Linked DNA regions of Canis lupus familiaris. The protein of the gene in region 2 interacts with the protein of the main gene of each other region in a pairwise test. Links are inferred from orthologs where the notes say so. Each region holds a gene or a part of one and is shown on either strand. Other genes may lie near its edges.

Evidence for each region. The genes of interacting proteins can lie anywhere in the genome.
Region 1: the proteins of NCOA6 (region 2) and ESR2 interact in a two-hybrid assay, tested with the Homo sapiens proteins (3 studies listed by BioGRID). The link is inferred for Canis lupus familiaris from reciprocal best matches to the Homo sapiens genes NCOA6 and ESR2.
Region 3: the proteins of NCOA6 (region 2) and NR1H2 interact in a two-hybrid assay, tested with the Homo sapiens proteins (2 studies listed by BioGRID). The link is inferred for Canis lupus familiaris from reciprocal best matches to the Homo sapiens genes NCOA6 and NR1H2.

The regions. Positions count from the first base shown.
Region 1 is NC_049229.1:38,986,140-38,992,265, forward strand, and holds the start of ESR2 (estrogen receptor beta), read right to left. Parts: upstream 4,006-6,126; 5' UTR 3,896-4,005; intron 1-3,895.
Region 2 is NC_049245.1:24,402,294-24,408,258, reverse strand, and holds the start of NCOA6 (nuclear receptor coactivator 6), read left to right. Parts: upstream 1-2,200; 5' UTR 2,201-2,344; intron 2,345-5,965. UniProt on the Homo sapiens protein: Nuclear receptor coactivator that directly binds nuclear receptors and stimulates the transcriptional activities in a hormone-dependent fashion. Coactivates expression in an agonist- and AF2-dependent manner.
Region 3 is NC_049222.1:107,000,542-107,006,481, forward strand, and holds the start of NR1H2 (oxysterols receptor LXR-beta), read right to left. Parts: upstream 4,006-5,940; 5' UTR 3,845-4,005; intron 3,732-3,844; 5' UTR 3,571-3,731; intron 3,008-3,570; 5' UTR 2,989-3,007; coding exon 2,946-2,988; intron 2,865-2,945; coding exon 2,733-2,864; intron 2,379-2,732; coding exon 2,088-2,378; intron 2,011-2,087; coding exon 1,745-2,010; intron 1,532-1,744; coding exon 1,352-1,531; intron 714-1,351; coding exon 614-713; intron 1-613. UniProt on the Homo sapiens protein: Nuclear receptor that exhibits a ligand-dependent transcriptional activation activity. Binds preferentially to double-stranded oligonucleotide direct repeats having the consensus half-site sequence 5'-AGGTCA-3' and 4-nt spacing (DR-4).

The sequences.
Region 1 (6,126 bases), on a different chromosome or scaffold from region 2:
TTTCTGAACTTCTGCTTGACAATTCCTTACACCAGTCCAAATCGCTGGGCTGCTGGTAGCCAGCTGGCATCATATGTAGCACAAAATGCCACATTCTCCTTGCTCTGTGTTCTTGAGCCTGCCCACCACACCTCCCCAAGCATTCAGTTCAAACACCGCTCACTTGTGTGCCCTACAGAAGTCACACATGCACATTCACAATGCAGACACTGCAAAAAATTTTGTGGAAAAGATAAAAAATATTTAAGTGTCAAGCATCCTTGATGTATGCCAGTGGCTGTCTATCAATCATTGGCCTTAAATCTTCCCCAGCAAAACACAGCTCTTGATCAACTTAATATTCATTAAAAAGAAAAAACACTCTGGGACACCTGGGTGACTCAGTGGTTGAGCATCTGCCTTCGGCTCAGGTCATGATCCCAAGGTCCTGGGATCGAGTCCCACATCAGACTTCCCAAAGGGACCTGCTTCTCCCTCTCCCTGTGTCTCTGCCTCTCTCCATGTCTCTCATGAATAAATAAATAAAATCTTTTTTAAAAAAAGAAAAAACACTAAAATCACCACAGAACTGATCACTAATAATTCACATTCAACTCTTAAGAAAACGTACATGTATCTTCCAAAATGAGAAAACTCTAATTCCCCTTGTGGCCCCCTGGACCTTATGGACCTGAACAGGAAATAGAACTTGGAAGCTTGATGGTGAAGACGCCAGAGCCTCAGCTGCACGGTCTTCACATGCTAAGGCGGGGTATGGAGGGAGAGCCCATCAGTCTACTCTCTTCAGCAAGTCTCTGCCCCTTCCCAATTCCAATCATCAGAGAAAATGCACTGCTCTTAGGAAATGGAACCATTTTCAAATATCCATTTGGGACAGGGAGGGGACAGTTGTGAATGAAGAGGTCATGACCAACGCAGAAGTTAAAGTGAATGCACTCATCTCCTCTTCCGGTCCTGGGTTTCAGTTGAACACGAACATTTACCCACAAACATTGCAGTCTTGCTTTGAGGAAACATACCAAATCCAGTAAGCTGCCTTGACAGTGACCCTTACTCTCCTGCTCTCTGTTAAGTACACCCATACCCAGAATCCCCGCTGAAGGCCCTTAATTTATGAAGAGGTATAAAACCTCCAGCTAGGAATGCCAACCACTCAGTTTGCTGGTGCTTCCTCAGCATGCCACTCTGCTTATCCTAGTTACTGCCTCTGTAGTTCTCTGAAAGGTAAGCTGCATGTAGAAAATACGGCCTCCTCTTTTCATAGCACAAAGGAGAAAGGAAAAAGACATCATCTGACATATCTTTATTAGGAGTGCTTAACAATAACAGACTCCTAGCTATTCTCTAAATTGAATAATGCATTAAACAGTAAAGAATATGTCCTGCAAGAAAATCTAGATTTCAAAGCATGAGCACAGAAATGGAAAAACTCTGACATCAACACATAAATTGGGCACAGACCTCAACTCTTAATAAGGACAGTATTTTTTAACTTAAGTCACAATCACTCTATATTAGATTTTCAATGTCTCCAGATTGCCATTTTTAATTACTTTTCTGCTCCTCACTAATTAATCGTACGTAATTTCAGGTAACTTTTGTACTCTCAAATATAATAAAAGTATTTTTTAAATGCCTAGTTATATAAATACAATACATTCTATTAATATTACATAAATGACCAATGTTTCTTTTTAAAAACCCTGTATTCAGTTGGTGATAATCCAGATGCACACCAGAACAAAAGACTTAGCCCACAATGGAATCCGAATGTGCTAAGAATGAAATCTATTAGCCCAATGGGAACCTAACAGTCCCATTTGCAAAATAGCTTTTCTTTGCCTCAATTCATTCCAAAGTATATAAGGAGTAAAACAAAAATACCACAACCTGACTCATCCCAACAAAAAGGGGGGTTGAGGGAGACTGGGATTCTCTTTTGCAAAAAGCATAGGAAGATTAATTATTTCTGGGTAAAAACATACTGAAGAACAGAACAGTAAAATTAGGGAACAGTTCAGTGATTTTTCAGGGGGTGAGGATGGGTGGGGGGGCTGATTACAAACACACAAAGGGGACTTTTGGGAGTGATGGCACTCTTCTAGGTCTTGACTGTAGAAGTGATTATATAAATGTTGCAACTGTCAGAATTCATAAAGGGTAACCTAAAGAGGCTAGGTTTTACTGTATATAAATTATATTGCCAGGAACCTGCCTTTTTAAAATGGCTATAATGTCCATTTCCACTAAATTATGAAGTGTAACATTCAAGTATACAGTTCTCAATGTTCTAGATGTAATTAGGAAAAAACTTACCAGTAAATGATTCAAGTTCAGCCTTCAGTGTTTTATATAATCATTACATATTTACAAGTATTATATAAAGTGGCTCAAAACATAAACTAAAATTATCAGATGTATTTTGCACCATTACTTGAATATAGATATATAGAAAACTGTAGTGTTTTACTCTTAAAAATGAACATTTCAATATCTATTAGATGTTAATTATGTTTTGAAGGGTTAAATTTACTACTAAATTTTACCTTTTCCATATTATAAGTAAACTGAGGAATAGAAAAGGTCATTAGATTCATTTGAGTCCCTCAGAACCACTATGAAATGTATTCTGTGTTTTTAATAGATTTCAGAGATTTTCAAGTCTTAAGAGTTACAGGAGACTGGCTGTTTTTGAAATAAGAATGTTTCAGTAATTCAACTGAAAAAAAGAAGATTGAATGTAAAATGGATCCTAAGATTATGCTTTAACACCTTACATTCTCCCTCTTCTTGAGTATATGCAGAAATATAGATTTTTCTGCAGAAAAAATAAAAGGCAAAGAAGAAGTGTCATAGTCAGAGAACACATACTTTTTTACAATACTTAACGGCAGAAACCTTTCTTTCCACATGTTCACTTAAGTAACGAATACCTTTCTCCACATATAATAGCCACTGTGAGTTCAGAAACTTAAAAGTAAAAATTCCCAATGGCATGTCCATGAAAATACTAAAAGTCTAGTAAGGCAAAAATCTTACCTCCAAAGGGTTGTGTACTACACCAAAGCACAAAGCTGCTTTTTTAAAAAGCTAGTAAAATTGAGTCAACCTGGTTTTCCTAAATAGAAATTCACTCAAACCCAAATTTTTTTTACAAAAAAATATTATTCCCTTGACTTAATTTTAGGCTTCCGAAATGAATCAGGCACGAATGGTAACACAAAGGGACAAGAGAAGAGCAGCTGGCTTCCTCTTCAGCAAATAAAACAGACCAGATCTTAGATCTTGCTCAGTTCACCCAGGACAGAAGCAAATCTGTTTTTTATATCACTGAGCAGTGGCACTTAATACATTTAAAACACCGGTCACCTGCTTGATCCACGTACACCTTCCCAGGCCCACAAAACTCAAGCATGAAGTCCTCGTTCAACTTTCCCACGCTCATCATTTCACCCTTTTTCGGGAAATCCATAGGAGGAAAGAAGAAAGAAAGAAAGAAAGAAAGAGAGAAAGAGAGAAAGAGAGAAAGAAAGAGAGAAAGAAAGAGAGAAAGAAAGAAAGAAAGAAAGAACGAAAAGAAAGAAAAAAAAGAGGAAAAGAAAGAAAGAAAAATAAAAGAAAGAAAAGAAAGAAAGAAAAAATCTAGAGTTTTTTTCTTTCAAAAAGACACGTATCAATCCGGAGTTTACAGGCACAAACTAATTAAATTAACTTGCCAGCGTCTTGAGTGAAAATACTTAGAGCGTGAAATTTCTGTTTCCTATAGTTTTCAAGACAAGTGGTTTCGGGCGGAGGCGGGGGTCTGTCATTGTTCTCAATATTGCTGCTTTCGCATCCTTGGCTTTCACACAGAGGAGCAGACAGTCCCACCTCGAGCCGGCCGGGGGGCCCTTACCTTGCAGGTGCACGGCGCCCAGGGGTCTCTGTCACGCGGGCCCGGCCTCTCCCGGAGCAGCCGCCCGCCGCGGGCCCCGCGGTCCCGGGGCCGGAGAGCGCGCCCACCGCGCGGCGCGGAGCCGGAGCGGAGCCGGAGCGGAGCCGGAGCCCGAGCGCAGCTGGATCGCCGCCCGCCGCCCGCCGCCGCCGCGGTCCCCCTCCGCGCTCCCGCCGCCCCCTCCCACCCACCGCAAGTTTCCCCGGCGGTCCCCGCCCCCTCGGCGCTTCGGGCTGCCTGGCTGCAGGGGCGCGAACCCGGTTTCAACAGGTCCAGGAGCCGGAGACGCTGCAAAGATCACCAACGACTTAACGAGGAGCCTCTCCTCCCTTTTAAAGACCCGGGGGCGGCGGAGAAAGCCTCCAAGAGCCCACGTGACCACCGAGCCGGCTGCCCAGAAATCTCGGGAGGACGCGGACTCCCCGTGTCTCGCCATCCACACTCACCTGGGCGGAGGGAGAAGCCCCGGGGAGCGAGCACTCGAGGCGCCCTTCCCGCCGGCCTGGGTTTGGGAGGTCTGGGGCGGGGCCTGAGAATGCGCATTTCCAACCCGGTGCAGGACCAAGCCCAAACGGATGCTGCCCGGTGGGGGGGCCACACTTTGAAGATTCACGTCCCTAGACCGTGCCCCACGTGGGTCTGTCAGTGGATGCTTCGGGGTCATTTAAATACAGAAGTCTGACTTTTTTTTTTTTTTTTAAGAATTTATTTACTCATGAGAGACACACAGAGAGAGAGGCAGAGACACAGGCAGAGGGAGAAGCAGGCTCCGTGCAGGGAACCCAACGTGGGACTCGATCCCGGGACCCCAGGATCACGCCCTGAGCGGAAGGCAGAGGCTCAACCACGGAAGGTGCCCCCAGAAATCTGACTCTTAAGAATCCAGTGGTGAAACTAGAGAGGCTTTGGGTTTTCTCAGTCCGGGGCCCAAGGGCAGGTTCGTGCCCCTGGAGAGGCCAAGCCACGAGGCCGTGGAGGTAGATGGCGGGTGCGGGTTCTGAGCGGCCGGCTGGGGAGGCCTTTCGCCTTAGAGCAAGGAGCCCAGGAACCTCCTCACTCACCGCTGCCAAAAGAGGCAGCTGGGGGGACATCTGCCTCTGCCGCTGGCGGCGCCCCTCTTCCCTCCGCAGGGCCTCCGTGGAGCTCCCTGCAGGCCTGAGCCCCCTGGTGGCAGCTCCAGTCCCCCAGGTCTGCGGAGTCCCCAAGCTCTCCTCGCCCACCCTGCAGCACAGCCCACAGCCTGAGGACTTTCCCTAGTCGTTAAGCAGCACCTGGCGTTAGGGCAGCCACTGGTGGCGAAAATCCAATGGTAAGTTGCATATGTCCCATAAGCCATTCTCAGACCCCAGTGCCACATTTGTGTCTAATTAATCATCAAACTATCCATACACGTGGCATAAGGGACGTGGTTCTTGATCTGGTTGTGACTCCAGATCTCTGATAAAAGAAGACCAAGAGGGCATCTGGAGGGAAACTTACAATGCCTGCCTCAAGTGTTGGGGTTTAGCCAAAAATGGCCCAAGCCGACTCTAGTGTGCTCTGGGTTTAGGAGAGTGAGGTCCACAGGTAGTGAAAGCAGGCTCCAAATGTGGAGAGCCACCCACTTTATAAACAGTGGATAGATACAATCTCTACTGCCCCACGCCCTCAATTTTCATTAAAGCAGGGACTCCTGGATGCTCTCAGGTTGTAAGGCAGGGTTTCCTGATCCTGGAGGCAGAGAAGTTAGTTTGAACAGGAGGGTGTGCGGCTGACCAGCTTCACCTGTGTAAGACTATAGAGACAAGATGCTTTGCCAATCTCGGCTTTCCTTGTTCCCTCTCTCGGGTGTCCCTGAATAGTACCCAGTGCCCACAGGCTCCTTCCTCCTTTGTACCGAAGAAAATTTTAAGCGATGGTTTTAAAATATCAGTTCTATTTGGAAGTACTTGCTTGTTAACAAGATACATCTGGACGAGAAATTATTATGAAGGAACTTCAGTCTTGAGCCACTAGGCAGGCCAAGATAATGTGAGGGTGAAGAAAGCTGACAAATGTCAAGTATCTACATTGTGCCAGGGAGTGTGCAAAGAAGTGCTTGCACCACATCCCATTTAATCGACATGGGAGCTCTGTGAACTGGTAATGTTAACCCTCCTCAGATGAGGAAACTGGCTCGCAGAGCTTATATCAACTACCTAGAGCCACACATA
Region 2 (5,965 bases):
TATATGCAAGAATTGTCAAACTTGATCTAAGGTGCTAGAAATCAAAATAGTGATGCCTCTGGGAGAGCAGGTCTTGACTGAGAGGGGACATATAGGAGGAGATAAAAAGGAACTTTCTGGGTTTATAGTTCTTGATCTGGGTGGTGGCAATGCAAGAACACAGGTAAAAATTTATTATACATATACTTAAGATGTTTGCATTTTGCTGTATGTAAATTATACCTCACCTTTTAAAAGTCAAAAGAAAAAGCTTAAAAAACTTTTTTCCAGGATTTTAAAAAAGATTTTATTTATTCATGGGAGATACAGAGAGAGAGAGAGAGAGAGAGAGAGAGACATAGGCAGAGGGAGAAGCAGACTCCAAGCAGGGAGCCCCATGCAGGACTCAATCCTGGATTCCAGGATCACGCCCTGAGCTGAAGGCAGACACTCAACCACTGAGCCACTCAGGCATCCCTTTTCCAGGATCTTGTAAGTCCTTTTGGTATTAATTTCCTAGGCTCAAGGGCCTAAGATGCCTTCTTGTGGCAATCTGTGCTTCTCTTTTTCTTTGCCCTCTTGGTTCCATCACCTAGCATAGTGTCCAGGATGCACAAATACAGCAAATATTTATTAGCACCTCCTGTGTCAGGCACTGTGCTATATGCTGAGGAAATGGTAGTAAACAAGATGGATAAAGTCTCCCTCCTTATGGAGTCCACAGTCTAATGGTGAAGACAAGGAATAAACAACCTAGTGTGTCTTATTGAGGACGAAAGAACCTGTCTGGGGAATGGTCAGGGAAGGAGACCTTGAGGTAGTGATGTTTGAGCTGGGATCTGAAGGCTGATGAGTTATCAAAGTAAGGAGAGTATTTCAGGCACAAGGATCAGCACGTTCAAGGGTCCTGAGAAAGAAGAAAGTATAATGTGTGAAGATCACTGTAATCACAGCCGAGAGAGAAAAGAAGAGCTCCCTAAGATAAGTCTGGAGATGTGGCAAGGGCAACAGTAAGACATCTATTTGGCCTTTATCTTAAGAGCAATATGGACCACCAAATAGTTTTAAATAGAAGGGAGACATGATAAAATTTCTGACTTAGAAACATTAGTCTGACAGCAGGGTGGAGAAAAGATTAAAGGGGAGCCAGGGAAGATGTGAAAAGGCCTTGGATCACTATTGCACCAGTTCAAGCCCACAGTGTGTGCTCAATGGAATGAAAGGACTCCAGTCTCCTTTTCTGAGATGAGATCAGTATGCCTGACCAGTTGTTTACAACCCACCGGCTCATCTTCTCTCTCCTGTGATGCTCATGACAGACTCTTAGCTCCCATTTCACAGATGAATAAGCCGAGATTCAGAGGCAAAGAAAGTCACATAGCTATCAAGAGTGAAAGCCAGGGATCCCTGGGTGGTGCAGCGGTTTGGCGCCTGCCTTTGGCCCAGGGCGCGATCCTGGAGTCCCGGAATCGAATCCCACGTAGGGCTCCCGGTGCATGGACCCTGCTTCTCCCTCCGCCTGTGTCTCCGCCTCTCTCTCTCTCTCTCTCTCTGTGACAATCATAAATAAATAAATTAATTAATTAATTTAAAAAAAAAGAGTGAAAGCCAGTTCTGAATCCAGGCCTGTACGACAGACATCAATTCCAGTACTGGACATTTGGGGAGAGGGAAGGAGCCACATTCTCTTGCACCTACTGAGCTTACTAGCATGATGGTGATGGGAAAAAGCAGAGAGGGACTTATAGGCAAATAATAAAGGCTAAAGGTTATCTTTATCACCGTTAACGTTATTGGACACTATGCGTCAGGCATTGTGCCAAGTGCTTTCCTTGTCTTCATTTCCTCTTTGCAAGCACTATTATTATCCCCTTATTTCAGATATGTAAACTGAGGCTTGGAGCGCTGACTTGCCCAAGCACACTCAGCCAGAGGGCTCCTATAAGGCTGTGCACTACTCTGAAACGGAGCCAAGAGCCACTGATGATATTAAGGCTCCAGGAGACAGAAACTCTCCCGACCCGGGCACTAAGCTCTGCACGCAAGTGAGCGGGCGCGCGCTCCGCCTCGCGCTCTCGGGGACGTTTGGCCACGTGACCAGGGCCCGCCCCCGCCCGCCCCGCCCCCTCCCGCGCTCCCACCCTCTCTCCCTCCCTCCCCCTCCCTCCCCAGCCCGGTCCGGCCCATCCCCCTCCCCGCCGGCTCCCTGAGGCCCTGCCGGGTCGGGCTGCGGGCGGCCGGGCGCCGACGGCCGGACAGACGGACGCACGCGAGGACGGACTGACGGACACACGGAGGGCGGCGGGCGCGCACGGCCCGGGCCGGTGCTCCGAGGCCCGCCCGGGAGGGCTGGGGCCGCGCTCAGGTGAGGTGACGGCGACGCGGGCCCGTAAGGGGTGGGCCCGCCGGGCGTCTGGGGTCCCGGTCCCGCTGGCTCCGCGGGAAGGAGGCGCCGCCCGGGCCCGGCGCGGGAAAATGGCGCCGGCCGGCAGTGGAACACGGCTCCTGTGCGGGCCCGGCCCGGAGCCGCCCCGCCCGCCGCGCTCGTGTCCCCGTCGCCATGTTGGGGAGCGGGCCCCGGGCCTGCGGGCGGGGGTGCTGCGGGGAGCGGGGGCCGGCCGGGGTTGGGGAGGGTGCGCGACGCGGGGTCTAGGGCGCTGAGGAAGTGCAGGGCCGGCTGGGGTCTGCACGGGGTGGCGCTCCAGGCCAGAGGAACTGGCGGGAGCCGAACGTGGGGTCGTGGCTGGGGGTCGAGAAGGGACACTGAGTCCAAACGGAACTGGGGCCAGGGTCCTTGAGGCTGGAGGCCAGGACCGGAGTTTAGTCAGGCTATTCACGTTCGGGACCTCGGGGCCGGCAGGACCCAAAGGGGCGTGGGGTCCACGCTCAGGCTGTCAGAGCCGGGACAGTTCTTTGTGGAGGCGCGGAGGGTGGAGGGGGGAGGCTGTGATTAGAAATATTAGAAATGGGGGCCCTTTGGATACAGGCGCGAGTATGAGATTGGAGCGGTTCTCTGAGTCGCGGGGCCGAATTGCAAGTCGTCCAACTCCCAAGAGACTGAGGACATATGTTCCCCTAGCATGTTCCACTCCCAATTAGGAAGAGCAGTGGAAAATAGGAAGACTGATGAGAAGAGAGAAAAGGGAGGCTGCGGTTCGGGTGCAGGAGCTGGCCAGCATAGGGTGGAACTGGTTGGCAAGAAGAAAGAACCTCCGTCAACTTAGGGAGTTTGTGTGTGTCTTTAAAAGGAGGGACCGGGCTGTTTGTGGGCGGTGACCCAAGGTGTCTTCCCAGGAAGGGGACAGCCCACTGTTTTAAGAGCAGGGTCACCTGGGGAGGTCATCACAAAGGCTTTTTTTGAAGCCAGTGAGAATGGTGTAGAAAAATGAATGTGTGAATGAAAACTACAAGGGTCTTAGAGATCACAGAACAACTTCAGAACGTGTAAGGATTTTAGCTGAGCCAGATAAAGTTGACTCCTCAAGATCTCACAAGTTCCTGGCTCTGGAGGTCCACCGCCTTAGTGGAATTTGTTAGCTCTGAGAAAATTGTTAAGGAGAGCTATAGCAGCAAATATCAAAGAACGGTTACTCTGTTTTTGTTTTGGTAATTAGTTTGTCAGTAGAAAGACTGAAGAGGAATACAAAAAAAGTACTGGTAACCAGCTATTTGATCATTTCCAGCCTACCTGCATTTGTGCAAAGAAGTTATCTTCAGAACCCTTTTGACTTCTAACTTTTTAGAGTTTTAAGAGATGCTCCTTCTGTTCTAGGGGTTTACAGCAAAGGGACACCAAAAAGTGAAAAAGATAACAGTGAACAATGGTACACACCCAGGATTTCTATCTTGATCAAACTTTAATTGAAGTTTGATCAAGATAGAGAAGAGTTCAGAGTTCATATGGGTTATGGAAGAATTCTGAGGGAAACTATGAAATATTATGAAATAGTAGTTACAGGCTCCCATAAAATCAAAAAGGACTTTCAACAAAAAGGTTATGAAAATGTACATAGCAAGTAAGATTTTCAATATATGTCCAGTGCGTTTATACTATATATGTGTGTGTGTGTGTATATATATATATATATATACACACACACACCCCCACACACACAGCATCAAGATTCATTTGTTCTGGATCTTTTTTTTTTTTTTTAAATTTATTTATTTTGAGAGAGAGCGTGCGGGTGCTCATGAGAGTGGGGTGAGGGGCAGAAGGAGAAGCAGACTCCCCGCTGAGCAGGGAGCCCAATGTAGGGCTCCATGCTGGAATTGCGAGATCATGACCTGTGCTGCAGACAGAGGGTTAATCAACTGAGCCACCCAAGCATCCCTATTCTGGATATTTCTAATGCAAGAAGGCCTGACTTTGTGCAGTAGATCCCTCTGCCATCTAGTAAAACTGCTCAGAATGATAATAACCCCTCTCAGAATAATATTTTTAATTGAGTAAAACAAAATACACTGTATTATAGAGAAAACCATTATATTGAAATACCAAAATACACAAATTATAAAATAGTGATATAGATATACTTTATCAATACATTAAGAAATCAGATCTAGTGATGGGTGTGATAATTACAATTTTAACACATGGTGAACATAAATAATATTTTGAGATATCAGCAACAATTGTAATATAATGTAAAGATATCTGTGGTAACTGTGACACAGTTACTGTCATAGATACTGCTAATATTAGAGTGGTTTGTTGCCTACAATTTATATTTGAAGAAAATGGTAACTTTCAGTTAGAGGTTAGTGAAAATAAATAGGTGGGGTTTTTTTCCTATCCAAGTTCACAGACCCCTCTGAATTCTGTCTGTGGATTCCCATCTGTGAACCCCAGGTTAAGAAACCCTACTCCTACCACCAGGCATATCTTCTATTCAGCAGACATTTACTGTGCACTAAGATATTCTAAGCATTATGCCAGGCTCTAAGGATTCAAAGGTCTTTAAGGAAGGGTCTTTTCACTTTAGATATTCAATCTTATGAGAGAAATGAACATATAAACAATGATAGTTCAAGATGGTGAATGCCAAAGCAGTGTCAAAGGTTGTAAAAACATAGAGGTGGGCAATGTCTCAGTTCTAAGAGTCAGGGAAGGTTTTGTGAAGGGGTGATCCTGAAAGGTGAAGGAGTTTGCCAGATAGAGTTGGGAGAAAAGAGCTTTCCAGGTAAAGGCATGCACGTTCAGGGAATATAGTTGAATGTGGCTAGAGCATAATATATGTGTAGAAAAGTGGTCAGAGAGGAGATGAACATTTGTTTGGAACCTGGCTTCTTCTTAGCAAAAGGACTTTGCTAAGAAGTTTGGACGGAATCTTTAGCTGATAGGGAAGCATTCATGGATTCCAAGGAGTAGAGTATGTGATTTGGTTTAGTTTTAGGTGATAAATGGATGTTCTTTGTTTTTGTTTTTTTTTTTATTATTATTCATTTATGATAGTCACACACACAGAGAGAGAGAGGCAGAGACACAGGCAGAGGGAGAAGCAGGCTCCATGCACCGGGAGCCCGACGTGGGATTCCGGTTCTCCAGGATCACGCCCTGGGCCAAAGGCAGGCGCTAAACCGCTGCGCCACCTAGGGATCCCAATGGATGTTCTTTGAATGGAGAGTGGATTGGAGAGCACGGAAGAAATAACGAGGGCCTAGTCAAGACAGAGGCTGTGAGCTTTGAACAAAGTTAGAATTTTCAGGTATTGATAATTGCCATTGCACATGGTAAAAGAAAAGGAATATTTTAGATTTTTGGTTTGGGCTGATAGCTGTCAAAGAGGTTATAAAAAGGGTGAAAGGAAAATGAAGCAACAATTTTCACAGATATTAAGGGAGAAGTTTTTTGGAGTAGAGTAATAGATTGGGAAACCATTGTGAAGCTATCAAGTGTGGTATGGTTTTTGCTTAAGGAAATCAGGTAAGTGTCAGCAGACATAAAGCAGGGAAAGTATTCCTAGAATGTAGGAAAATCACAACC
Region 3 (5,940 bases), on a different chromosome or scaffold from region 2:
GATGGCCAGGGGTTTGAGGAAGGGAAGAGGATGAGGTTAGGAACACACATGTGGGAGTATAGACAGGTGCCCCAGGAAGAGATGGTGAGGGAGAGCAGGACTTATAGAGAAAGCCCAGAGACTGAACGAGCACAGCGTTTTTCTACATGGGGTTCCCAGAAGGCAATGCTACTCCCCAATTCCCTTTTCCTAGGTGATAAATCTCACCCCTAAGGCCTCAACTTCCTCCAAAAGCCCACCACCTAGGTCACATCCCCAGGTAAATGTTCTTGGAGGGCAGGGACCAGGACTGCCCTGTACAGTTGAGTAGGTTGCAATGGACTAAGATGCAGTCTTCCTCCAGTGACACCAGGTTTTGGGAGGAGGGAGCGTTTTTTCTTAATTCCTATCAAAATGCCCTATGTGACAGTAGAGCCCCCTTCACCTCATCCTGCATTGCATCCTAGTGCACAGACTCGGCATTCTGTACCCTTATCTCACCACAAGGATAGCTCCCCATGCTTTGGAAATAAAGAAATGGAGGCAGACAAGAATGAGGGCCTGAGGTCTCCCACCAGTAGGGGCCCAGCAGGGGCACGAGCCCTGCACCCTGCCAGTCCACTCTCTGTTGTACCTGCACGGTGAAAGTCATCCTTGCTATAGGTAAAGTCCTTCAGGAAAGTGATGCACTCGGTCTCATGGTTGTAGCGTCTGGCCGTCTCTAGCAGCATGATCTGGGGACAGCAGGGAGAGAAGTAGGCAGGGGCAGGGGCTCTAGGAGTCCCTATGACCCTTTAGCCACTGGTCTCTCCTCTCTTGGCCTGTGGGGGGACCTAATCTCGCCAGAAATCATCCCTTGTTCCCTCAGTCACCCCAGCCTGCAGTCAGCATGTCAGATACCCCAAACTCTCTCTCCTCCAGGTTTAGCACCCACAGCACCCTCTACTTGGGATACTCTTCCCAGGTGGTTATGAGGCATGGGGACAGGCAGTCTGTTTTCTTCATTGCCACATACTCAGCACTTGGAGTGGAGCCTCATATATGCTAGGAATTCAATATTTATTTGTTATGGTTGCTTTGGATTAAATGCCAACTCATCTGAATAGCCTTCCCAGCACCACATTCTTTCCAGCCCAATCCTCGATTTTTCCCAGCCCCGGCCCCTTTCCTTGTTCTCTTTGGCTCATGGGAGGCTCTGATTATCTGTTTAGTATTTTGGCCTTCCCCTGTAGGGTATCCTCTCCACAAGGGCAACAACTGGAGGTATATGACTCATCACTATACTCCCAACAGCTTTCCTGAGGCTTATCCCTGGAGCTCCTCATGGGCAGGAAGGAAGGGCCTTGTAGAGGATGGGCAGACTGCCCATTACCTCAATGGTAGACGCCTTCAGGAGGGCGATCTGGTCCTCGCGGCCCAGCTGCAGGAAGCCAGGCACTTGTTTGGCGAAATCCACAATCTCCTGGACTGAGATGATGGCTAGTTCCGTGAAGTGGGCAAAACGCTGCTGGCGGGCATCGCGGGACTGGGGGTCTGCACCCAGAGGCCAGGGCTGGGGAAACAGGGGCCAGGGTTATTCTCAGGACTTCTCCCTCAAGCCCAAGGCTGCAGGGACACCTTGAGGCAAAGACTGTACCCTAGGAGACCCTCCTCTCCAAGGCCCTGCCCTCTGAAGGCTTGTTACCTCCCCATGCCCTTGGCTACAGCCTTACTGGCTCAACCCCACCATGCTCATCATCCCTCAAGGCTGTGGGAGGGGAGGTACCGTGACTTTGGGCTGGTCAGAGAAGGAGCGTTTGTTGCACTGCAGTTGAGCTGCCACCAACTGTTGGATCATTAGTTCCTGAGCAGCTGTTAACTGAATACCCTCGCCTTCCCCAGAGCCCTGGCCGCCTCCGTCAGACCCTCCAGGGGAGGCCCCAGGTCCACAAGCTGTGCTGCTGCCCATTGGCCCTACTGGTGACTGTTGCTGCTGCTGCTGTTGCTGCTTCCGAATCTTCTTCTTTCGGATCTGTTCCTCCGAGAGGACGCCTGTTCGGGAGACAGAGGCCTCAGCAGAGGCCCCAGGGCTGGGCAGGGGTCCGGCCGGCTCTCCCCCCAGCACTCACACTGCTCCCTCATCCCGGCCTCCTTGCACTTGCGCAGCCGGCACTGCTGGCACTTGCGCCGCATGAAGGCGTCCATCTGGCAGGTCCCGCCACCCCGGCAGGCGTAGCGCCTGGCCCCGCCTCGGACCACACTGCGCCGGAAGAAACCCTTGCAGCCTTCGCAGCTGAGCACGTTGTAGTGGAAGCCAGAAGCCTTGTCCCCGCACACACGGCACAGCTCATGGCCCAGCATCTTTGGGGCTGGGCCTTTCTTTCGCTTGCGCTCAGGTTCCTCAGCAGGGTCTGGAACGACTGGGGTGGGTGGTCAGGAACCCTGAGACACAGGGCCTCGGAAGGAAATTGCAGCCCAAGGATCATCCCCACAAGAGAGAAGCAAAAAGCCAGGATACAGACAGTGACCCAGGGAAATGGTGTCTCAGAAACAAAAGCGTGCATATCAGTGAACCCCAAAGAACAAATGACAAGTGGCATCAAGTAGGAAAAAAATATGCTCACGGGCAAAAAAAGAAAAAAAAAGTGACAAGTAAGCATGGAAGAAAAAATTAACGAGAAATTGGGAGCCTCCCATCCTCATTTCTGATCTTTCTCCCTTTCTGGATCCTTCCCCAACCCTGTCCCAGCCCCTGTCCTTGGCCCCCATCTCACCCCCGCTGCAAGCGGAGCGGGCCCAATCGCTGCCTGGGACATCAGGATCTGGACCCGAAGGCCACAGTTCAGGACCCTCCTCCTTTATCGCTGGTGAAGAAGATGGGGCGCTGGCTTGAGGCGGGCCATTTCCTGGGAGAGGTAAGCACAGTGAGTTTCTCCTGACAAGTGTGCCACGGGGGTCGGGGCTGGGCCGGGAAGGAGCTCACTCACCAGGCAAGGGCGTGTCCAGAGAACTGGTGGTGGGGGTGGACATGGTGGAGTCACGGAGAAACCTGCAGAATACGGGGGGACCGAGAGCCTTGTGGGGCCAGGGAGGCTCAGGTTAGGCCAGCCCCAAGTCCTGATGCGGGCACCTGTTTCTTCCATTTTTCCAGGCTCCTCCTTTACTGCAGAGACCCCCGCCTAGCCCCTGCCTGCCTCTGGGACCTCTCCTCAGGTTGGGACAGAGCCCGCCCCCGACCGCTCCAGGCCTCCACAGGCTCTCAGCCCTGCCCTCACCTAGACTCCGCCCCTCCCGTAGGCTCCGCCCACTCCGTTCCTGCAGGTACTGCCCTTTCTGCTTCCATCGTGCTCCGCCCTCACTTCCTCCATCCCACCCAGTTTCACCCTACCTACGAGTAAGAACTCCCCACCTCCGCGGAAATAGCATCCCCAACTCCCACCCTGACCCCACCACCTCCCCTTGCCCCACCCCCACTTTTCCATCTAGGTCCCGCCCAAGCCTACCAGGTCCCACCCTCACTCCAGCCATCACGCCCCGCCCCTCCCCTTGCCCCGCCCCGCCGGTGCCCCTCCCTGCAGGCCCCGCCCCACCTCCCGTCAGGCCACGCCTCACCCCTCCCTTCACGCTCCGCCCCCACACCTCGCTCCAGGTCCCGCCCCTCTCCGAACACCAGTGGGGGGCGGGGCTCATGGCTGCGCGCGAGGGTCTTGTGGGCGGCCTCTCGCGGGGTCTCCTACTCCCGTTGCCCTGGAAACAACCGGAGACAGCGCGAGCTACGGAAGGGAGGGGGGGGAAGGAGAGAAGGAGGCTGAGCGGAGCAGCGCGGGGAACGCCGGGAAGCCCCGGGCCCAGGACGCCTCCCGAGTCTCCCCACACTCTAGTGCACCTGCCTCTGTCCCCTTGCTCTGCTTTTCCTCCTCCTTCTCTGTATCCCCTGGCACGCCGCCGCTTCTCGGATCCCCTCAAAAGTAACTTCGCCACTTCTTCCGGCAACCCCGCCGTGCGTCACTTTAGGAAGGGGGCGGGCAGTCAGGAGTGACGGACTTCCGGTCCGCTTAACTAGCCAAATCGGCTGCCCCGCACGGAAGTCGTATTCTCACCGGAAGCTTACCGTCCGGAGTATTTCCACCGAGGCCTGGCAGGAGAGTTCCGGACCAGTTCCCGAATGTAGTGCGGGAGGGGGCGTGGCCTGTCTCAAACCTTCCGAGTGGGAGCTGGGCTGCTTTTGCTCCAGCCCTGTTCCTCTCTGGGCTCGTAGCTTGGGGGTTTACTGGTCACAAAGCTCCCGACCTTCTGCTCCTTGTCGCACACGTTGATTTGAAGCATGTTTGTCCTTGTTTGATTAACAAGTTTTCTGGTTTTAGAGGCACGTTGCTTATTGGTTTGAAATAAATTGAATTGCAAACCTAGACCCAGGAAAAATCTATTAAAAAAAGAACTTGTTGAGGGCTCCCTGGGTGGCTCAGCGGTTTGGTGCCTGCCTTTGGCCCAGGGCATGATCCTAGAGTCCTGGGATCGAGTCCCATATCGGGCTCCCTGCATGGAGCCTGCGTCTTACTCTGCCTGTGTTTCTGCCCCCCCCCCCCCGTGTGTCTCTCATGAATAAATAAATAAAATCTTTATATATATATATATATAAAAGAACTTGTTGATATGAAGATTTAAAAAAAGCATAACCTCATAACCAAAGTGATACAAATAATAGCTTTTAAAGATAACTCACAGTACTTGAATAGGTAGAAAAAGGGAACTGTTCTGGTCTTCCCTGGATGATAATCAGATCTATATTGAGCATATATCCGTTTTTTATTGCAACGTATGAGTCATGCTCTTTTATAATTTGTTTTGTCCATTCCGACATGACCTTGAAGCTATGGAATCGGAGGATGTTACCACTAAAAGGGGTGATTACATGGACATAGAGTGGAGAGAATGGCTGAACTCGTGTCTCTGTCACTTCCTAGTTGTGTTATGTTGAGCCAGGCTATTGACCCTGCCTGTGCCTCAGTTTCCTTTCCTAAACTGGGTCCAACGAGGAGGCTGGGTGGCTCAGTAGTTGAGCACCTGCCTTTGGCTCAGGTCGTGATCCTAGGGTCCTGGGATTGAGACCGCATCAGGTTCCCCGCAGGAAGCCTGCTTCTCCCTTTGCCTGTGTCTCTGCCTCTTTCTCGGTCTCTCATGAATAGATAAATACAATCTAAAAAAAAATAAATTGGGCCCAATAAGAGTTAGTTGGGTTGTCATTACAACTAAATAAGGTAAAAAGAATGAGTCAGGTCAGGTTCAAATAAGGAGAGCCTAATATGTGAGAACTGTGTTTATTCTTGGGGATGCTCAGGTTGTTTTTAACTTCCCTAGAATAGTGCAAAAGGCTGAAAGAGACTGAAAATGAATTACAGCAGTTTGGGGCAAGGCATATCACCCTCAGTCTCAGTTGACGGATCTGTAAAATAGGGGAAGTTATTCCTATTTCTTAAGAAAGGTGTGAAGATTCAGGAGGGGCAGTGCCTGGCGCACCTAAGCATCCAGGGTGAAAATTCATAAAGGGAGACCTCAGTAAATTGAAAGGGGCAGACCAGCAGGGGGAGCTCTCCTGGGTTATCACTCCTGTGTCAATCACAGGAAGGACTGTCAATTACAGACAGACCCCAGCAGAAGAATCTCAACGAGAAAGAATCCTCAATTACAAGCCCCCAAAGGGAAAGATGTACATCGCATCTCCTATAAGAAACCAGCTACCCCAGACTCATCCAATGAGAAACCATCTTCACCTTGAATTCTTGCTTTTCTCCAGTGGACTTTCGGTCAAAACAACTCCTCCCAACTTCCTCTTTCTTCTCCATAAAATAATACTCCTTTCTTTTGTTGAGCTTGCCTGGGTTTTTGTTTGTTTGTTTTGTTTTGTTTTGTTTTGTTTTGTTTTGTTTTGCCAGAGCATGTCGATCCGAAATTACAGTATTGCAGCTCTCTCCTATTCCCAAA